Linked DNA regions of Coturnix japonica. The protein of the gene in region 2 interacts with the protein of the main gene of each other region in a biochemical or structural test. Links are inferred from orthologs where the notes say so. Each region holds a gene or a part of one and is shown on either strand. Other genes may lie near its edges.

Region 1 (3,972 bases), on a different chromosome or scaffold from region 2:
TGCCATCAGCTGGAGATGGGGAGGTGCTGCTCCAGTCCTGCTGGAGACTCTGGAAATGGGGTTGAGGTCTGCCTTTACCATAGGGTTCTGGAAGGGTATTGGGCTCACTGCCACATCTCAGCCCAACATTCCCACCATCCCATCAATGCAATGTATCTCACCATACACTGCCAATTGGATATGCCAGTTAGTCTCCCCGGCTTCCATGGTGATGGAGTACTCATAGAGTTGCTGGTCCTGCCGTTGGGTGCTGAGGATCTCCAGTGAGAAGTTGGATGGATGGAAGCGAATCTGTCCTGGCTTGTAGTTGGTGTAGTTCCCATTGTAGTATGTGAATAAATATTCCTTGTTTAGTGGGTTTTCCACACTCCGCTTCCACGTGGCTGTCCCAAAACGTTGGGTGAGCTCCTGGAATTTAGGGGGGACCCCCAGGATTGTTGCCTTCCCCAGGGTGCCAAGCACTGTCTCCATTGTCCCACAGCCTATGCCTGGAAGGAGAGCAGAGATGTGTGGGGAGAGCCTGGGGGGCTTGGAGGAGATGCGACCCTTTGGTCACAGAGCTGCATAAGCAGGGGATGGTGCTGGGCTTGCCCTGGTAATCTCACATCAACTGCCTATGCAATAATCTTCTCATCTCTCCACTGCTGTACTTCATGGTGTTTTCAGCCTGAGCCCTGTGTAGGGCACCACATCCTGCCCCAGTGACAGCGGCCCCACACTCCAGCAACCCCTGCATGCCCCAGGGATGTCTGAGGACCACGAGTGGCGATGGTTCCTAATACACACCAAAGCACTTTGGTCACCCCTGGCTTGTTCATGAGTTACCTCTGGTTGTGGCCATGATTCATAGTTGCCTACAGCCCCCGTGAGCCGTGGGCTTGTTTATGTAGGAAACAGGATGGGGGTGACACCAGCTCAGCACTGCTCATCAATAGAGCGTGGAATGGAATATGCCACGTCACCCTCATGTCTCCTGCATACTTCTTTCCAATGGGGCAAGGACTCATCCCAGAAGGGAAGCATACAGAGTAGGACTCAACCCAGATAATGTCGATATCTGCCTTTGCTGCAGCACATGTACTTCCACTAAAAACCACAACCGAGCTGACAGCAACTGCTTCCCACCCCCATCCCGAGTCCTTGCCATTGCTTATTTTTTCCCCCTCCATGGCATGAAACACAGCAGCTTCAGAGCTGTCCCTGTGAATTACATCTCTGGGGTGCCGACCCAGCCATGCAGAGCGGCTGCTATTGCAAAGGAACTCAGCAAAGCCCAGCATGGAGCTTGGAGGCTGCATTTTCTCAGTGGCACGGAGCACAGCGGTTAAGCTCCTGATTAATTACTGAATGGAAAAGCCCTTTTTGAAACACGGTAGCAAAGCCCTTGGCCTGGCAAGCTGCAGCTCCCAAGAAGAGGAGATGCTCCCCATAGGAAGGTTGCTGGGATGTGGGACTGGGGTTGTATGAGGCCGTGAGTACCCATGTGGATGAGCTGTGGGAACATAGGCACAGTGCAGGGTCCAGAGCAGCCCCTATGTCAGGAATTACATTCATGGGACTTTCAGAGCACTGTCCAGGCAGAAAAACCCAGGGGGATTTTGAGGGCAGGTATTCTAGTAACAGTGAGCCAGCAGAGTGGAGGCAGCCCTGTGCTGCTGTATTGCCAGGCAGACCCCTCTTTGCTTGCCCGGTGATGGTGCAGCAGCACATGGGGATGAATGTTGACCCCAAGGATGGCACTGCAAAGAAGGTCAGGGCTGAGCCCACTTCCTCATGCACTGATGCTCCTATAGACATTCTGTTGGTCAAGTATCACCTCACCCCCACCAGCACCCAGAGCTGAGACCTCTAGAGACCATCTGCTAGGACTTACACCTCCTGCTCCCCAGCCCACAGCACTGGTGATCCCCCATGAAAACCCAAGGCAGAGTATTTCACCACCACAGATACGCTCTGACCATCACTGCCTTTGTTCATTCATCACCTTTTATTCTCTCCTCCCTCGCTCTGACTACAGAGCGCATTAGGGATGCGCCGCACATCCAACTTGGAGTCGGGTGTCGTTTGTCTTCCAGATGAATATTTACATTTATCCGCCTGCCCACCCAGCCCACAACTCACCATTTCTAATACCCGCCGATCCCCCAGCCATCCGAACCACATAGTTTGCAGATAGGAAAGAGATACATACCCCAAACCCAGCAACTAGAGATGAGCAGCCAAAGTGATGCCCTGCAGCCCATGCCTCGGTTCACGGAGCTGCTGTCGATGTGGAGTTAATATCTGCTGCCGTGCTCATTATGAGAACAGGTGTACTCAAATCAGAGGCGCTGCTGTGGGCCATGTGTTTCCTGTTTTTTAGGCTGAATGATTCTTTCTCGAGTGGAAAGTATTCAAAACGCTTCTGAACGCATCGCTGAAGAGCGCCGCGGAGAGTTGCAGAAGGGCCCAAAGCAATGATTTATAGTTTTCTTCAGACGTATATCATCTGCCACAGGCCCTTAACCCGCTCTCTATGAGAAGAGGAAATAGCCAGCACCAAACTCTCTTTATGTTTGGTAACGGGTTCCCGGGGCTGCCCAGTGTCAACTGGGTCGGAGGATGTGGCACGAGCACATCCCACACTACAGCATTGACTTGCAGCAGGAAAAACAGTGAATATTTGGGGATTAACCCACTCCAGGTGCGTGGGATTCAAGGTGGCCCCAGTCTGAAGCCTCAGCTCCATGGCTTTGCTGCAAGCAAGAGCACAGGTGGTCCTTAAAGCCCACTGAGGAGAACCCCAGCCTGAGTATCATGGGGCTCCAGTTTGCTCCTGCAATGCTTAAGCCCGACCCCAGGGGTTGTGCTTTGCTGGTGTCTGGGGATAGAGGGCAGTCCTCACTGCTGTGGGTGTCATGGGACATGAACAGAGCGGGGATGGGATGTGGGTGAGACATACATGGGACATGGATGGAGGAAGGACAGGAAATGGATGGAACACAAATGGGAAACAGATGAGACATGGATGAACATGGATGGAGCAAGGATAGGACATAGATGGAACAAGGATGGAGCAGGGATGGGATGTGGATGGAGTAGGGATGGGACATGCATGAGACACGGATGGGACATGCATGGGGCACAGATGAGACACAGATGGAACATGGATGGAACACGGATGGAACATGGATGGAACATGGATGGAACACGGATGGAACATGGATGGAACTCAGTCCACACTGAGGCTGGAAAAACTCAGCCTGTACGTTCCATTGCTGGAAAGGAGTGAGCAGATCTTGGTTGTTTTGGTGTTTTTAGTGGAATGAATTATTCATCTCTGCCATTGCTCAGCCTGCACAGCGCTTTACAATGGGAGAAGGGGTTTTTTTTCCTATTACTCCTTTCAAGTTTTTGTTACTTTTCCTCTCTTGTTTTGCAGAAGAGAGCGGAGGCAGCAGCGTGAAGCACAAATTCCTCCGTTTGTTTTAAAACAGACCACATTTAGGTGTCAGGATGAAATAAAAGCTGCATTTATGCCTCCCACCATTTTCCAGCGGAGCCGGGCTCCGAGAGCACTGTGACTTTTGTCACCAATAAATTATTTCTGATACTAAAAGCAAAGCTATGCCCAAATCCACATCGGACCAACCCACGTCCTGCAGTGCTGTCCTTGCACAGAGAGCATCTGGCTGAGCACCAGGCATTGCAAACTGATGCCTCTGGGCTGGAAAAGCATGTGAAGCAATGGGAAATATCACAGAGGGGGATTTCTGCAGTAACTCACGTCGGTGCTGAAAGCATCAGGCTGTCACACACAAGGAATTACCCTGGGCCTCCCATTAAACATGAGCTGGAATGACTCCTGCTTGTTCCCGGTTCTTAAATGAGCCACCAAGGTACCCCAGGAGGTGATGCTTAAGGATGGCTTTGGGAAGTGGCTGGGGACAACTATGGAAGGTTCTTGTCCCCATTGAAGGCAGTGGGGATGAG
Region 2 (4,064 bases):
ATCCAGAAAGGCCTGGATGTCAATGTTACTTGTTCATAGACACTAAAGCACAAAATAGAGCCTAGAAGCTCACTGAAAGCTGCTTCCGTCATTGTAACATAAAGCAAACATGAAACTGCCATTACAGTGAAAACTTTTAATTCCAAATCAAATATTAAATGCCTATAAATAACTGCATATTATGATTCAAACTAACAAACTAACTTGTTTGAGGACAAGGGAGATCTAGAGGCAGAAAACTAGCATGAGGTGAATTTATTTTGATAGGTTGACATATTGAATCACAAGAACAGAAGCAAGGGCAATAGATCTGGATTGAGGCGCTATCAAGACCTGGGACAGCTGTGGATGAGTTTGGAAGGAATGCCACGGAGAAAGAGGTGTGCACTGTGCATGGTTAATGCTGAGATGCTTTTGGACCAGTCCCAACATTCTGACCCTTAGATCCTCCCCTTCAGTCAGTGGGTCAACTACAAATTGTGGTTGTTTTCTGTAGCCTGTGAATTGCTGTCTCTGTCCACGGATCAAATGAGAACTATTTTATTTATTTTTTAGCAAGGTGGGCATCAGTTTTTCTTATCAACCATGTTACATGCTAAGCAATGCTTAAGATGCAGTTCTAGACCGGAAGCTGTCTTGAAACAGCACCGAGAATTTCTGTGTTGATGTCTCCAATTTTAGGACTGATGCATTCCCCTTAAGCAGCTTTTCTTTCTCTAGTCTATCACTGACAGCCAGTCTCTCAGCTTCTGAGCCAGCTTCTGAACCACATCATCCCATTTGCTATCTGAAAGCAACCTGTACTTTCACCTCTGCAAGCCAGTATCTATCATGCTGTTGCTGCTACTCTGTATTTCAACAATTGTATGTATTAATGCACAAACTAAAGTCACATACATCCTTTGGCTATATGATGTACTCTGTAGATATGCTGTCTATTACTGCAGTAGTTCAAACTCATTTAACGCACAGAAGACATAAGCACCTCTTTGCTTTTTTCATCTGCCTCTACTGAATAAGATCACAACAGCTGTACTCCCACATCAAAGCCTAGTATTGCTTCCTCCGTGCCAGGATCCCCATTTGTTGATTCAGACAGACTATGCATGCCATTTCCCTCCCTGATCTCTTTGCTTTGTACATTGTCTCCTTCCACACTCATTGCAGGCAGGCTCCTCCAGCTCCCTCTTCAAGGTCTCTGTTTGTAACTCATCTGCCATTTCTCCTCTGTCATTCCCAGATGATCCTTTCTTCTACTCACCAACCCAACAGTATTCCATTTCCTCCTCCCTTTTTCTCCCTTCTCCTTTGATTTGTTTTAAAAGCAGTGAGATTTTGATTATTGATAAAACATATTTCCTGATATTCCTGAGCTCATTAAATGTTATGCTACATTTATTTTTTTCATGTCACTCTCAAACACACCCTCAAGGAATGTGTAAAATTCAATGGGTTCACACAAAAAGGACTAGTTACTAGTTCATAAACTGAACACATTAAGAACAGATTGGTTACTTATGAAAAAAAATGTAAAACAGACTTTATGAACAGGAAAAAAGTGCTGTTCCCAACAGCAGAAGAAAATAATCCAGTTTTAATTGTTTTAAGCTAAGCAGTTTTCTATCCCCATCTTGTTCACGGGCTTGTCATGAATTTGAGTAGGACGTGACAGGTTCTATCTCAGCTTATCTTCTCACATCAGATAAACTTTGTGGGAAACACAAGGCTAATGTTTCATCAGATAATCAGCATGCATATGAAAAAGAAAATTTTTATGTCCAACTGTGGGACTTTTCAGTGTCTCAGCAGTGCTAAAATGGTATTTACTCATTGTTATAACACAGGTAGCAACTCTGAGTGAGATTCTCCTCACCGTGTTTTGGCAGGCTGAGGTATTTTCTCTGGGATCTCTCTATTGTCTGCAGAGAGACAACAGCATCAGCAGAGAACAGTTCATCCATTCTCTGTTGTATGAATTGTTTTTACAAATGTCACCCACTCACCACTCACTATAAAGAAAACCTAAGGCAACCAACATCGCTTGAATACATCTACAGACATACTGTTAACATTAGGGAAGAACTATTAACGTTAGAAAAGGAGAAGTCTTAGTTTTTTATCTATTTGAAATCTCATTAGAAATTTAATATTAAAATACTTACAAAACACACAGACACAAGGCTCCAGCCATGCTTTCGCTCTCTCGTATTAAATAGCTACCATTCTTTCCTTTCTTGCACAGCAGTTCTTCACATGCTTTACGTGATATCTTTCCATGAAAAAATGGGAACTCCATGGACAAATAGATACAAAGTCTCTCGTCTTTCAGACCAATTCTAGAAAAAGCTGGAAGACTGGCATTAAAAGACGACTTATTCTAAAAACAGTTGTTAAGAAGTGAAACTAGAGGTTTGAAGTATGGTCATGGGCTCATGTTGTGGTTACTGGTCTGTCTGTAGTGCAGCTAGCCAACAGCTTAAGGCTGATGAGCACCATGAGGGCAGGGTGGGAAATGGGAAATGATTCATCTGTACTGTTACTGTCACTCTTCTGGTGCATTATATGACAGAGCTAACATCTGATTTGTGTTTTACGTTTCTAAGCTATGCAATAGTTTAGCAGACACCTAATCACAGTTACATTTTAAAGGTAACTTCTACATATGAAGTTGCTCAAAGCCTTGCTGAACTTTACCTTTTAGCACAGCTGTTAGATGTTGTTGCTGTTCTTATGGCTTATTGCATTTTGCAAGTACCAGTGAAAGTTGGTCAGCAGTACTTGTGAATTAGATTTTTCAGGAGGCATTCTCTCTGCTGCCTCCTTCTCATTTGTGAAGTGTAATAATTTTATCCAGAAGTTCTGCTATGTCTATGTCATGACAGAGAAAACATGATAGGAAGGAGGTGATGGTCAGACAATGCCTTTTGGTACCCCTAGGAAGCTGCTGTCAGTTCAATGTGACAGGATACATCTATGTGGAAAGCTGCTGCTCCCTGATGGAGGAAATGCTACCCAGCTCTATGGGAGATACTCTCACAGGGATTTAATGCTTTTCTCACTGGAAGGCAAGGACTGGGGAAGGGTGGAGAGCAAACAGACCTGGAGAAGCAAGAGATAAAAACCAAGCTGGGCAGTATTAGTGAAGGAATGGAAACTGCGGGAGGACCCAAAGATACAGGAGTAGCTATGATTCAGAAGGTGAGACTGGAAAGGAAACAAGCACTGATCTTGCAGATAGAGTTGGTTTAAGTTTCCAGGGAAGGAGGAAGGGACAGAGACAGCAGGAGAGACAGTCTTCAAAGCTGAGGAAAAGGATCAGGGACTGCTGCAATAGTTTGCTTTCAAAGTCAAAATGGTCCAGGTCCACAAGAGCTGGAACTGGCAGGGGTCTTCTTGATTTCAAAGATCACTGTTTGCATCTACACTTCCCAGCTTTGTAACCTGTGGATGACTCTGAAGATCTCATAATACGTCACCATTTCTCTGTCACCAAGCAGTGCTGGTGACTTCTATGGTACAGTTCTGCAGTCCACCTTACTCATGATCCTTGACATTGATACCATAAGTGATGGTTGGCTATTTTCTCTCTTCTTCTTTACAGATCCTCCTCCATTTCACAAAAATTCCAAGAAACTTGTAAGTGCAAGTACTCGTCTGTTAGGAGATGTCAGAGTTATAGTGTGTTACTGGCAAAATTACAGCTTTCTTCCTTTTGTGCAAGTGAAGTGTGATAACTGATCAGGTATGATAAGGGGTGTTGGTGTATGACTGTGTGTACAGTTTTCTAAATATCTCATGAATGTAAAATTTTCATGAGGCAGTGCAAGGTGGGTGACACAGAATTCCAGCTGTGAAAAGGAACAGCAGCTGCTTAACACTGCCCATCTTCAGGTACATTCTTTCTCCTCTTCAGTGATAAGAAAGCTAACAAGTAACAAAGTAAATAAATGAAACTAATATAGAGTATCCAAAGGAAGACTATGGAAACAATGAGCAATCTAAAGGTCAAGACATATGAGGCATAGATGATGTTGCTGAGCCTGTCCAGAGCAGAGCAGAGGAGC

Evidence for each region. The genes of interacting proteins can lie anywhere in the genome.
Region 1: the proteins of SH2D1B (region 2) and signaling lymphocytic activation molecule-like interact in a test that uses a peptide from one of them, tested with the Homo sapiens proteins (2 studies listed by BioGRID). The link is inferred for Coturnix japonica from reciprocal best matches to the Homo sapiens genes SH2D1B and SLAMF1.

What each region holds. Positions count from the first base shown.
Region 1 is NC_029540.1:802,602-806,573, reverse strand, and holds the start of signaling lymphocytic activation molecule-like, read right to left. Parts: upstream 2,803-3,972; 5' UTR 2,244-2,802; coding exon 2,192-2,243; intron 489-2,191; coding exon 162-488; intron 1-161.
Region 2 is NC_029516.1:78,530,415-78,534,478, forward strand, and holds the start of SH2D1B (SH2 domain-containing protein 1B), read right to left. Parts: upstream 2,801-4,064; 5' UTR 2,297-2,800; coding exon 2,163-2,296; intron 1-2,162. UniProt on the Homo sapiens protein: Cytoplasmic adapter regulating receptors of the signaling lymphocytic activation molecule (SLAM) family such as CD84, SLAMF1, LY9 and CD244. In SLAM signaling seems to cooperate with SH2D1A/SAP.